Regions from separate parts of the Mus musculus genome. Here regions 1 and 2 are each reported to be linked to region 3. Evidence: microRNA targets listed by miRTarBase, many of them from high-throughput screens and not tested one by one. Region 3 holds a microRNA gene; each other region holds the end of a gene's coding sequence. Distances are from middle to middle.
The links. The annotated mature microRNA mmu-miR-466f-3p reads CAUACACACACACAUACACAC and lies in region 3 at 1,050-1,070, opposite strand. An mRNA with a match to its seed (bases 2 to 7 or 8) in the 3' UTR can be bound and repressed. Matches are read on the target gene's strand: a 7mer-m8 pairs with bases 2 to 8, a 7mer-A1 pairs with bases 2 to 7 and ends in A, and an 8mer does both.

Region 1: miRTarBase lists Pter as a target of mmu-miR-466f-3p. Seed matches in the 3' UTR shown: 7mer-m8 at 2,088-2,094 and 8mer at 1,800-1,807.
Region 2: miRTarBase lists Pias1 as a target of mmu-miR-466f-3p. Seed matches in the 3' UTR shown: 8mer at 1,582-1,589.

What each region holds. Positions count from the first base shown.
Region 1 is chr2:13,000,832-13,004,888 of GRCm38, reverse strand. It overlaps Pter (phosphotriesterase related), which reads right to left. Exons shown (of 6, transcript NM_001305437.1): 6 at 1,435-4,032. The coding sequence ends at 3,822. It overlaps C1ql3 (C1q-like 3), which reads left to right. Exons shown (of 2, transcript NM_153155.2): 2 at 445-3,002. The coding sequence ends at 624. Among named protein-coding and RNA genes, the nearest start is that of C1ql3, 8.0 kb to the left of the region's middle.
Region 2 is chr9:62,878,629-62,882,685 of GRCm38, forward strand. Pias1 (protein inhibitor of activated STAT 1) reads right to left here. Exons shown (of 14, transcript NM_019663.3): 14 at 1,449-3,633. The coding sequence ends at 3,340. Among named protein-coding and RNA genes, the nearest start is that of Calml4, 23 kb to the left of the region's middle.
Region 3 is chr2:10,469,017-10,473,076 of GRCm38, reverse strand. It overlaps Mir466f-3 (microRNA 466f-3), which reads right to left and starts at 1,124; the gene lies at 1,031-1,124. The region is part of intron 10 of Sfmbt2 (Scm-like with four mbt domains 2); the gene reads right to left. It overlaps Mir669l (microRNA 669l), which reads right to left; the gene lies at 4,009-4,060. Mir669d-2 (microRNA 669d-2) reads right to left here and starts at 1,433; the gene lies at 1,348-1,433. It also overlaps Mir297a-2 and Mir466o.

The sequences.
Region 1 (4,057 bases), 2.5 Mb from region 3:
TTCTCTAGGTCTTTTACCACTCGAGATATGAGATTTCTAATAATTAGGATGACCCATTGAAGTACACAGTTAGTCGGGATGCTGTTATTTGATTTAAATTAAAATGCAAAACAATACTGCTATTTCCATTTCAAAATGTGACTGGATGTGGAGATTCGAGGAATCAGAAAAAGCAGCAATTGAAGAGAAAATTAGATTGGCATGCTTTATTTACAAGGATAGAAAGGATGGCAGCAATGTCCCTTATTAAAGCAACATTTTTTTTCTCTTTTCTCTTTCCAGTAACATAGTTGAAGTTGTTATGGAAATTCCTTCTAAACCTATGGGACCAACAGCAACATCAGTGTGCTACATTGTATGCTATGGCTGCAAGTCTGCTATTATGTAAAAGGGGCAACTTAAGGATTCTCTATTTACAAACTAACTCTTGTCTGTTTCACATAGGTGCGTGCTAGTGCAATTGCTCAAGATGCTGATCAGAATTACGACTATGCCAGTAACAGTGTGGTCCTTCACCTGGAACCAGGAGATGAAGTCTATATCAAATTAGATGGTGGGAAAGCCCACGGAGGAAACAACAACAAATACAGCACATTCTCTGGATTTATTATTTATGCTGACTGATAATGCAGAGACTGAGCTTGCTGTTCTGAGTTTGAACGCTGGATTCGTATGGCTAACGTCAGTGAATCAAGGATCCCAGGGGATGCCCATTGCTGGGCATCTCAGTTGTGTAAATGTGGGGAGATCAAATGCTACCTGACTCACATCTGTATCACTCAGACACATTATGTAAAAAAAAAGTATTTAACGCAAGATAAGCAGATGTGTGATCCACTACCGCCAAAGCAAATACTCCTTATTGTTAGTGTCCATGTGAATGAAGTCCTATATAGACCACAAATTTTTATAGAAAAATCTAAGACACTGAGTTATTTCTTCAATATCTATGATACTTTGGTGTCCTGTGATCTTGCTGCTTTATTCACGTGTCAGCTTTGGTTCTTGTGAGTTTACCTGCTTATTATTAAGCTACTTGGAGTCTATTTGTAGTATAGGGAGGAGTCATTTTTCCCTGCAGGAGAAGGTCTAATTGAAGTAATGCTGCTTGTCCCCAAAGATACTGTTTGCCTTGTACTCTGGTTATCTTTAGAGCTAGACCTGGGAATGATTCAACTTGAAGCCTTAACCTGGAATTTTCTGGATTTGTGGAATTCCCAAGCCTGTGATCATTTTCACATTTTTTTTCTTTTCATGTGAATTTTCTTTTCTCTCTCTTTTCTGGTGATGGTCTCTATCTTTTTTTTTTTAAATAGAGATTGAAATTGTATCATAGGATTCCCCTCTAAGTGTGAAAATGTATAATTATGTACGGTATTTAGAAAAAAAAACCTGTGTGTCCATTTCTCCAATAGAATACATTTAGACTCTCTTGAACAGTCAGAGAAATTTATTCTTTGGTATGAAGTCAGATGGAGGCTTTTGCCTTCTTTGGAACAAAAGATCGTTCATAACCTAAGGCACAAAAGTTTAACTTGAGCTACTGCATGCGTCACCAAGGGGACACTAAGTAAGGCCTTCAAACAGTTACCACAAATCTGTAGCCTGAGGTTATTTCAAAATTAACAGTTTCACATAGAACCGACATGACAACAAAGTGTATATATTTTATATAAATATCTGCCACACACTTATTTATATACATATATGTTAGATGAAAATATTATATATATATATGGCTTCAGTCCACTAAGCACAGTGGCTGTACAGCTCAAAAATGAATTTAAAAAGTATATATGTATACACACAGAACCATGCACAAATTATTCGACTTATTTTAGATCAAAATATATTTTAGATGATACCAATACATAGAGTAGCAAAATAATAAAGGTGACTTCTCTTTAAGAGTTATTCAGAAAGTCAAATCACAGTAGATTCCAGTGCCCTATGTCACACATGAGACCTAGTTGATCCCATGGTAACTGTGTTCCACATGCAATCCATACTTCATCTGCATTCTTTGGCAGACGACTATTACAGGACTTTAGGAAGCAAGTAGCTCTCTCTTACAATGGTAATGAAACATACACATTTGAGCAGCCAATTATTTTTTTCTTTCTGTTGGATTGAAGCTGATAGTGTAGTGCGAACCCATTCTCGCTAGTTACAACACACTGCCAAGAGCCATCTCTTTGGTGTAAGGGGAAGATCAAAATGCATACGAACATGTCCTACTCACACACAATTCCCCCTCTTACAGTGGAAAATCTGTTCCCCTTTCAGTTGCCTTTAAACATTCTTTGACAAGTAGATTTCAAAGCCAGAGATTTAAAACTCTGCTTGGTTTACTGGGGAAGGACATTTGCATTTTAACCTTTAAAGGAACTGGGCTGTTCTTTTGGCTCACTCAACTTTGGTACTTTCTGTTCTAATATACAGAGAGCTTGATCAGCTATGATCAACAGAAATAGCTTTAGTTTAGCAAACCTTGACTTTTCCAAGAGTTATGCATGGTGTTCCCATCTAAAGGTGGTGTTTGCTGTATTTAAATGCCTTGGTCTGAGTAACTGTCGTGATTTATATGATAAAAACACTTAGATCATTCATCAAGAATAGTGACTAATTCGATTTGGCCCTTCTAATATGTAAGGTAATTCACCAATGAATTGCTACACTTTTAACTTCTATTTAACAGCATATACTTATGGATTGCAAGCAAGGGATTAAAGATTTGTCTTGGGTACCAAATCACATAACGAGGATTCAAAGGATTAACTTATAAACAACAGTGTTCATCAATTAAGCATTTTAACTAACATTTTGAAAAGGCTTTATTAGAAAAGAACTTCATGGCTGGATCTCTTCTAAAGAGTAGTGTTTACAAACAGACTGTCATTTCCAATAGACCTGACCTTTTCTTTAGATAAGTAAGCATTATTTTCTCTGTTTAGGCCGGAGAAAAAAAGAAATAAAAGGTACATGAAATAAAAGGACTATATATAAGGCAAGCATTTCTCTTTTTCTTTGCATTATAACATGAATTAATTAAATTGTGGCCTTTGTTATAATAACTGTAATGATTCATTAAACTATATTATGTAATATATTTTTACTTTTATAATTGCATTTTTTATAATTCACTATTGTTATATGTTCTTTGATAGATTTTCAAAAACACAACATAGTTAACAGTAAAAATGGAGACCAGAAAGCCAAAGTCAGAAAAAAAATGATATATTTTGTTTACATAAATAAGTGGAAAACACATAGGTAACCTTCGAAATTTCTTTATTGTTGTGAATTGGTAATTTTATTGCAGTCTCCTTTGGGAAAAAATGTCTCAAAATTTAACTTCCCTTGTTGCAAAAGTGATTTTAAAATGCCATATTATTCATTAAGCATTAATTAAAGAACAGCAGGATAATTAGTAGGATCATCAATATTACAAGAAACATTAGGTTGCTCCAGAAGGGGCAACTTAGCTAGAAACACTTTCATTTTTCTCAAGTAGTGCAGATCACAGAGTCAGGGTTGGGGAAGACATCCAAAATGATTCTTAGGGGATATAGTTTTAAACTACTGTTTGGAAACATGCTCTTTTATCAATATTTATTTTATTAAGGAAAGACAATGGGACTCACTTGAGCCCTGTGGCCCCCACCAGAGATGTCCCTGTGGTAGTTATCCAGCTTCTCATAGGAGAGAAGTGACCATTCACCAGTTCTATGTAGACTGGATTAATGTCTCCAGTAGATTTGAAATCACCAACTATTCTCTGCTCATTGTATCCTCCAGGTCTGGGTTCGTGAACAGCCATCCTATTTAAAAGTCAGCCATTGTTTAGGGTTTTCTATGAGTATCTTGTCAAGCACCCTCTCAGTCAGACCTCTAAGGAGCATCTTAGGAACAATGTTGGTAAGGATGTGTGAGTAGCCGTGACCTCCGTACTTCATCAACCGATGCTTTGTGTGTATGTCATGTGCCATGAGAATCCGATCTTCATAGCCCTCATCCACTAGAAAATGGACCCTGTGTAAAAACATTAACTCATTAC
Region 2 (4,057 bases), not on the chromosome of region 3:
TATACATCTTCCCCTATGTTAATAAAACAGCAGCAGCACGCTCTGGGACCACCGGCTACTCTCCCTCCCTCCTTGAAAGCTACACTTTGTGTTTAATTAAAAAAAAAACAGAATTCAACGTGTATCCACAAAACAAAATTCTTACCAAAATAAATTCAAATGTGCTTTAAGAGTCCTGAAGATTCTGAAAGTTTCATGTATTTAAAATTGAAACTGCTTTAAAAACTAGGTTCTTTCTACATTTATTCATTTACAATTAGGGCATATTTTCATTCGGTTTCACAGACTTGTCTCAAAAGGAAAATTGGCTGAAAAAAAGAATAAAACAAAAAGCAACAACGACAAAAAAAATATACCACCACCACCACCGCCACCAAAAGAACCCACATTTTTCAAACCTTTAGTGATTCTTGAAGTCAGTAATGTAGATGTGTAACATCTAAATTAGCAGTGGAACAACTTCAATACTCAACAAAGTATGCATGGTTAAGTTTCATATTTAAAAAAATGTGTCCAGTAATGCCCACATGGTAAATTAAAAGCCACCTCTACCCTCCTGGCTGAATGGCTACTTTATTGATGGTGTGTGCTTACAGAAAGACGGGAGCACACACACGATACTGTAGAGAACACATGCCAGAGGGAGAGACTAAGGAAGGAGCTCCTGGCAGCTTGCTGAATCAAAGATGCTGAGAACATTATCTGTCCACAGCCTATTAATCAAGGTTGGCAGGGCTGGGGAGTGAGGTCGGCCTAAGGAAAAACGACAACAACGGGACAAAGTGACCATGCGCTTTTTCTTTTAATGCAGGAGATAAAGTGGTGTGTGGCTCTAATAATTATTCAGGGTTGTGAAAGTCTCTGACTGAACTTGACCACATGCAACATTTTAGAACGTCAACACTGAAGAAGTGAACTCCTCAGTAAATGGAAGGAACTAAAACATACAGACAACCAAACGGCTTGTTCTCCCGTGGGGACATGACCAAAGCCACAGGGCATCTATTCCTCCAGTTACCGGCTCTCCCCTTAGGCTGGTACAAGGCAGGACACCGAAGGAAAGTGACCCCTCTATAGCTGGCATGAAGAATGCAGAGAGCTGGTTTAAACTGGATTATTTTAAGTTTGTAATTCAGCATCAGACACAAAAAACTATGCATCAGTATCCTAAAACTACTAACAGTAACCAAAACCAGACCAAACCAAACCAAAAACACCCAAACAAAACCAAGAACAAAGAAAACTATTCATTTTACCTCAGTTAAAATAATGTTTCCTATTGCTATGTTAATAGAAACACCTCAAAATTTCAGTGATTTCCACTATAATCCCAATTTAGACAAATTATGGTTATCTGAAGTGAGTCTAAATTAATACAGTAATGAGAGATGGTAGAACCTGTATTCATAACACCAGATGAATTTAAAAACATAACTATTTCTGGTTTTAACTGATAACAAATGTCTTGTTTTATTGCGAATTGTTTTGTGACTCTAACACAGCCGTTTCTGTGTGGAACACACATGCGTAGGGGAAGACGATGATGTTACTCACACGCACTTGTTTATAAATACATATATATATACACACACACACACATATACATATCAACACCAACTTTTTTCAAAAATTCAAGTCGACATTTTAGTAGCAGAGAGACTATAAAATAGATATTATTTTTAGATGCCACGCTGTCATGTGAACCACTTCCTTTATTATACAACTGAAGACACAGTCATCATGACTTCTACCTGGATTAATACCTACCGGTCCTTCTGTTATGGATGCAAGGCTTGAAAACAAGTTTACCACACACAAAGATGGTCCTTCCACAACTCTGAAAACATGAAGGTGGGACATAAAAGCCAGTGCAGGAGCTGGTGATGGTGTGCCCTGGCTCTCTGCAGTTACACCTGCATCCTCCATCAGTTGCCATCTATCTCCCACTGTCAGAGCATGCTTTCTTCTCTGCGGACTCTCAAGTATGAGAAGTATTTTTTCCTTCCTTTGACCCTTAATCACCTCCTGAAACAAATTTTAATATATTTACATATTCTGCTATTGAGAGTAGGTGAGACCAATTGGTTCTTGAATTTAAAAAAAAAAAGGCTTCCTATGTCATGCTTTCACTAAAGGTGAAGGAAAAAAGAACACGGCTAAGAAAGGAAGTATACTCGGAGACAGAAAACCAAAATAACTAAGGTTATTTTTGAGTTTCAACTATTTATCAGATAGATTTGGTATGGATCCACATGTGGGCTGTGCTGTACTGTTAACTTTAGGATAACCGATTCTTTCTTTCCTTCCTTCCTTCCTTCTTTTCTTTCGGTGGAACGGAACGACCTCTGCCAGCTCCACACCCCACGGGGCTACGGGGGTTCTTTCACATCCCATTTTGGTATGAAGATCCTCAAGGAAAACTTGTTACCCTGTTGCCAAAATGCAAGTGCTCACAGCCTTGGATTACATACAGAATACTGGCAATTCAGACTTAGAATCAACAGAAGTGTATTGTCATTCGAGGGCCTGCCCACAGACTGCGCATCCAAGCAGCGTTTGCTCCAGCACTTCTGGGAAACACACTCGTAGAGGGTAGACAGCAGATCACAGAGGATCTGGGATGGAGAACATGCACCTAGGGAGAGTTGAGAAAGATGCTCACACAAGAGTGATAATAACCAAATGCAAACTGAGGAGGAGGGGCGAGTGACGACAGAACAGCACATACAGGTACACAGGCGCTCTTGCGCGCACGCGCGCACGCACTCACGCACACAAGCTCTGTCTTGAAAACAAAGGGTATGCAGTAAGATAGACGAGGCTCATAACTTAAGGCTGGTAAAATCTACGCACACACAAACAGAATCCAAGTCTGTCACTTTTAAAAAATGGAAATCAAAGCTATCCCAAACCCATCCCCACAACAAAGCCCACAATTTAAACCTCATACATGCAATTGTTTCCGTTATTGCAAGAAAGATAATGCCATTGAAGTAAAATAAAACCCAAACCACAGGACAAATGGTGAAGTCTTCAGAATCCAGAAAAAATGAACTGAAGGTTTGTGGGTGCTTGTTTTTTCTTTTTCTTTTTTCTTTTTTTTTTTTTTAAACAAGTGTTTTATCAGACAGGCAGTCTTAGATTTATATACAAAAGTAAAACTGAAAATATAGTTTTGTTCTCTGTACATTTCTTTTAATTTTTTTTTCCCTAAAAAAAAGGAAAAAAAAAACCACGCTTGTATACTTTTCTAAACAGGATAAGGTAAAACAGAGCATAGAGTTCTCTTCTGCCAAGTCATTTAATCTGGGATGGGGTGGGAGCAGCAGGGTGAGAGCGTCAGTCCAATGAGATAATGTCTGGTATGATGCCAAAGATGGACGCTGTGTCTGCGCTGCTCCTGCTGGCCACACCATGGCCATGGCTCTCTCTCAGACTGTTGGAAGACACAAGGCTGCTGTTGCTGCCGCTACTGCTTCCGTTGGTGGCTGGCAGAGATGTGCTCCCTCCTGCACTTAGCTGGTCGAGAAACATCTGCGAGGAGGTATACGGGAAAAACCGGGAGGAGTGCAGGAGGTCCTGGTCATCTGAGACCGCCGCTGCAGCTGCGGCTAGCAGGGAGGTGTTGTAATGCTAGGAGGGACCAGAGACAAAACACTCTGTTACAATCAGATGCACCTCGGCGTACTCTTCTCAGCAGAACAAGGCTCCTCAAGTGACAACACATTCTGTAGTAAACGACTGGTCACTATTACTGAGAGCGCTTTGGCATGGTATCTGAGACTGGAATGACATTTTTGATTGTGTGTGCATGTAGTTTGTATTGCATGCAGTTCTTAGCCCTCTGTTTCTGAGGTGTTCAGAAGCAGTAGGAAGGATACATCCCACATTTCCAATGGCAAGTTCAGCTTGAGAACTGTCTCACAGCTGCTCAGCTGCTCCCAGGCTGGGCTGCAGCTCGGTGCAGCCTGCTTCTGCTCTCAGCACTGTAGGTGCTGGGCAAAGGGTTTGCGCACATGAACATCTCTGAGCTGGGAAGCGCAGGAAGAACTTGCTG
Region 3 (4,060 bases):
ATGCTGAACTCTAACTCATCATGAAGTTAAACATGAATTTGTACTCCAGGACCACCTGACTCTGGCAAGGGATTTCACCTGCTGAGTGAGACCTCTCCCTATTCAGTACTGCAGAATCTTAAAACTCTTAGTCACACGTCATTCAAATGGATCGATGAGTTGCATTCATGTTTGTGTGTCTGTGTACATGTCTATGCGTGTGTAGATATGTATATTCATATACACAATCCACACACAGGTACACGCATGTACACATACATGGGGGCATCACATGAATCCCAGGCAGATTTCTAAGTCATCATGAAATAAAGCATGAATTTGACCTCCTGACCTCCTGATTCTAACAAGCATTTTTAATATGATGGGTGATAACTCTCCCTGACCTAGTCACACATAATCTCCAAAGCTCTCAGTCACATAGATTGATGAGTGAGTGCCATTCCTGTGTGTCTATGTGCTCATATGTGTCTTATGTGTGCATGTATGTATATCATATTCACACATGTACATGTACACACACATCAACACATACACACATACATAGGGGCAATCACATGAATGCCAGGATGACCTCTAACTCATCATGCCTTTACCATGACCTTGAACTCCTGATTATCTTGACTCTGGCAAGGGTCTTTACTTGGTGAGTGAATCCTCTCCCTGGCCCAGTCATACAGAATCTCTAAGACTCTAAGACACATATCATTCAAATAGATCGATGAGTGGCAGTTTTGGGTTTGTGTGCATGCTTGTATGGGTATGTGCGTATGTATATGTATACTCATATACACACATGCACATGCACACATACATATACACACAGGCACATACACTGGGGGCATCACATGAATCAGAAGCTGATCCCGGACTCAACATGAAGTTGAGAATGAATTTCGACTCCTGATCCTCCTGACTCTGGCAAGATTTCCACCTTGTGAGTGAGAGCACTCACTGGCCCAGTACTACATAATCTCTAAAACTCTAAGTCACATATCATTCAAATGAATAAATGAGTGTCGTGTGTGTGTGTGTGTGTGTGTGTTGCGTGCGTGTGTATGTGTGTGTGTATGTATACATATATTCATATACACACATGCACATGCACACACACGTAAACACACATGCACATACATGAGGGGCATAACATGAATGTCTGGATGATCACTAACTGAAATTGAGCATGAATATGAACTCCTGATCCTCCTGACTCTGTCAACAACTTTCACCTGGTGAGTGAGACCGTTCATTGACACACTACTGCATAATCTATAAGACTCTAAGTCACATATCATTCAAATGGATCAATGAGTGCCATTCCTGTGTTTATGTTTATGTTTTTGTGTTTCCGTGCATGCGTGTGTATATGGGTGTGTATGTATATGTATATTCATATAGACACATATACATGCACACACAAGTATACACACATGCACATATATAGGGGGCATCACATGAATCCAGGATGATCTCTTACTCCTCATGAAGTTAAGCATGATTTTCAACTCCTATACCTCCTGACTCTAACAAGGGTTTTCACCAGGTGTGTGAGAATTGACACTGGCCCTGTCATACATAATCTCCAAAGGTCTAAGTCACATATCATTAAAATGCATCGATGAGTACCATTCCTACATGTATGTTTGCATGTGTGTGTATATGTGTGTATGTATATGTATATTCACATAAACACATGTACATGCATACACTTCTGCACACATGCACATAAACGGGGGACATCACATGAATCCCAGACTGATTGCTACCTCATCATGAATTTAATATGAATTTGAACTCCTCATCCTCCTGACTCTGGCAAGAGTACTTAACCTCCTAACTGAGACATAGCTCTTGATCAGTACTGCATAAGCTCTAAAGTTCTAAGTCACATACCATTCAAAAGGATATATGAGTGCCATTCCTGTGTGTGCTTGCGTGTATGTGCATATTCATATAGAGAAGTGAATATGCACACAGCTATACACACATGCACATTCTTGTTGGGCATCACATGAATCGCATGATGAACTCTAACTCATCATGAAGTTAAACATGAATTTGAACTCCAGATCCTCCAGACTCTGGCAAGCGTTTCACCTCCTAACTGAGACATAGCTCTGGATCACTACCGCATAAGCGCTAAAGCTCTATGGCACATATCATTTCAAAGGATATATGAGTGGCATTACTGTGTGTGCATGTGTGTATATGCATATTCATATAGAGAAGTGAATATGCACACAACTCTAACACATGCACATTCTTGGTGTGCATCACATCAATTGCATACTGATCTCTAAATCGTTGTGAAATTAAGCATGAATTTGAACTCCTGATCCTCCTGACTCTGGCAAGTGTTTCACCTAGTGAGTGAGACTTCTCCTTGACCCATTTATACATAGCTCTAAAACATTAAGTTACATATCATTCAAATGGATAGATGAGTATCAATTTTGAGTTTGTGTGTGTGTGTGTGTATTTGTGTGTGTCTCTGTGTGTGTGCATGTTGTGTTGGTTAGTTTATATGTGTATATTTATATGCATATATTAACATGCACACATACATATATGCACACATGCACATACATAAGAAACATCCCAGTCTGATTTCTATCTCTTCATGAAGTAAATTTTGTATTTGAACTCTCTCTTCACCTGACTCTGGCAAGTGTTTTTACCTTATGAGTGAGACTATTACTGACCCAGTACTACATAATATTTAAAGCTCTAAATTATATATCATACAAATGGATCAATGAGTGCCATTCATGTGTGTGTGTGTCCATGCATGCATGTATGTTTGTGTGTATGTATATGTATATTCATATACACATATACACATGAACACACTTATGTATACACATATGCACATTCAAGGGGAGACATCACATGAATCCAGGCTGATCCCAAATTCTTCATGAAGTTAAACATGAATTTGAACTCCAGATACTGATGACTCTGGCAAGGGTTTTTACCTGGTGAATCAAAACTTTCAGTGGCCAAGTACTACATAATCTCTAAAGCTCTAAGTCACAAATAATTCCAATGGATCGATGAGTGCCATTCATATGTGGGTGTCACATGTATGTGTATGTATGAGTTTATGTATATGTATATTAATATACACACATACATCACGGGATCATCACAAAAATCTCAGGCTCCTCTCTAACTCATCGTGAAGTTAAGGATAAAATTGAACTCTTTTATTATTAGGTATTTTCTTCATTTACATTTCCAGTGTTATCCCAAAAGTCCCCCATACCCTTCCCCCCCCAACTCCCCTACCCACCCACTCCCACTTCTTGGACCTGGCGTTCCCCTGTACTGAGGCATATAAAGTTTGCACGACCAATGGGCCTCTCTTTCCACTGATGGCCGACTAGGCCATCTTCTGATACATATGCAGCTAGAGATACAAGCTCCGGGGCGTACTGGTTAGTTCATATTGTTGTTCCACCTATAGGGTTGCAGATCCCCTCAGCTCCTTGGGTACTTTCTCTAGCTCCTCCAATGTGGGCTCTGTGATCCATCCAATAGCTGACTGTGAGCATCCACTTCTGCGTTTGCCAGGCCCTGGGCCTACTGACTCTGGTAAACATTATCACCTGCTGACTGAGACCCCTCTCAGGCCAAGTACTGCATAACCTCCAAAACTTGAGGTGACATATCATTCAAATGAATCACTGAGTGCCATTCATGTCTGTGTGTCTTTGTGTGCCTGTATATGATTGTATGTATGGATATGTATATTCATATACAAACAGGCAAATGCACACAAAACTATACACCCATGCACATACACGGGGTACATCCCAGGAATACCAGGCTGATCTCTAACTCATTATGAAGTTAAGCATGAATTTGAACTCCAGATCTTTCTGACTATACCAATCGTTTATATCTGGTGAGTAAAAAGTTTCATTGGCCCAGTACTACATAATTTCTAAAGCTCTAAATCACATATCAATAAAATAAATCGATGAATACCATTCCTGCGTGTGTGTTGATGTGTTCATATGAATGCGTGTATATATGGGTGTGTATGTATATGTATATTCAT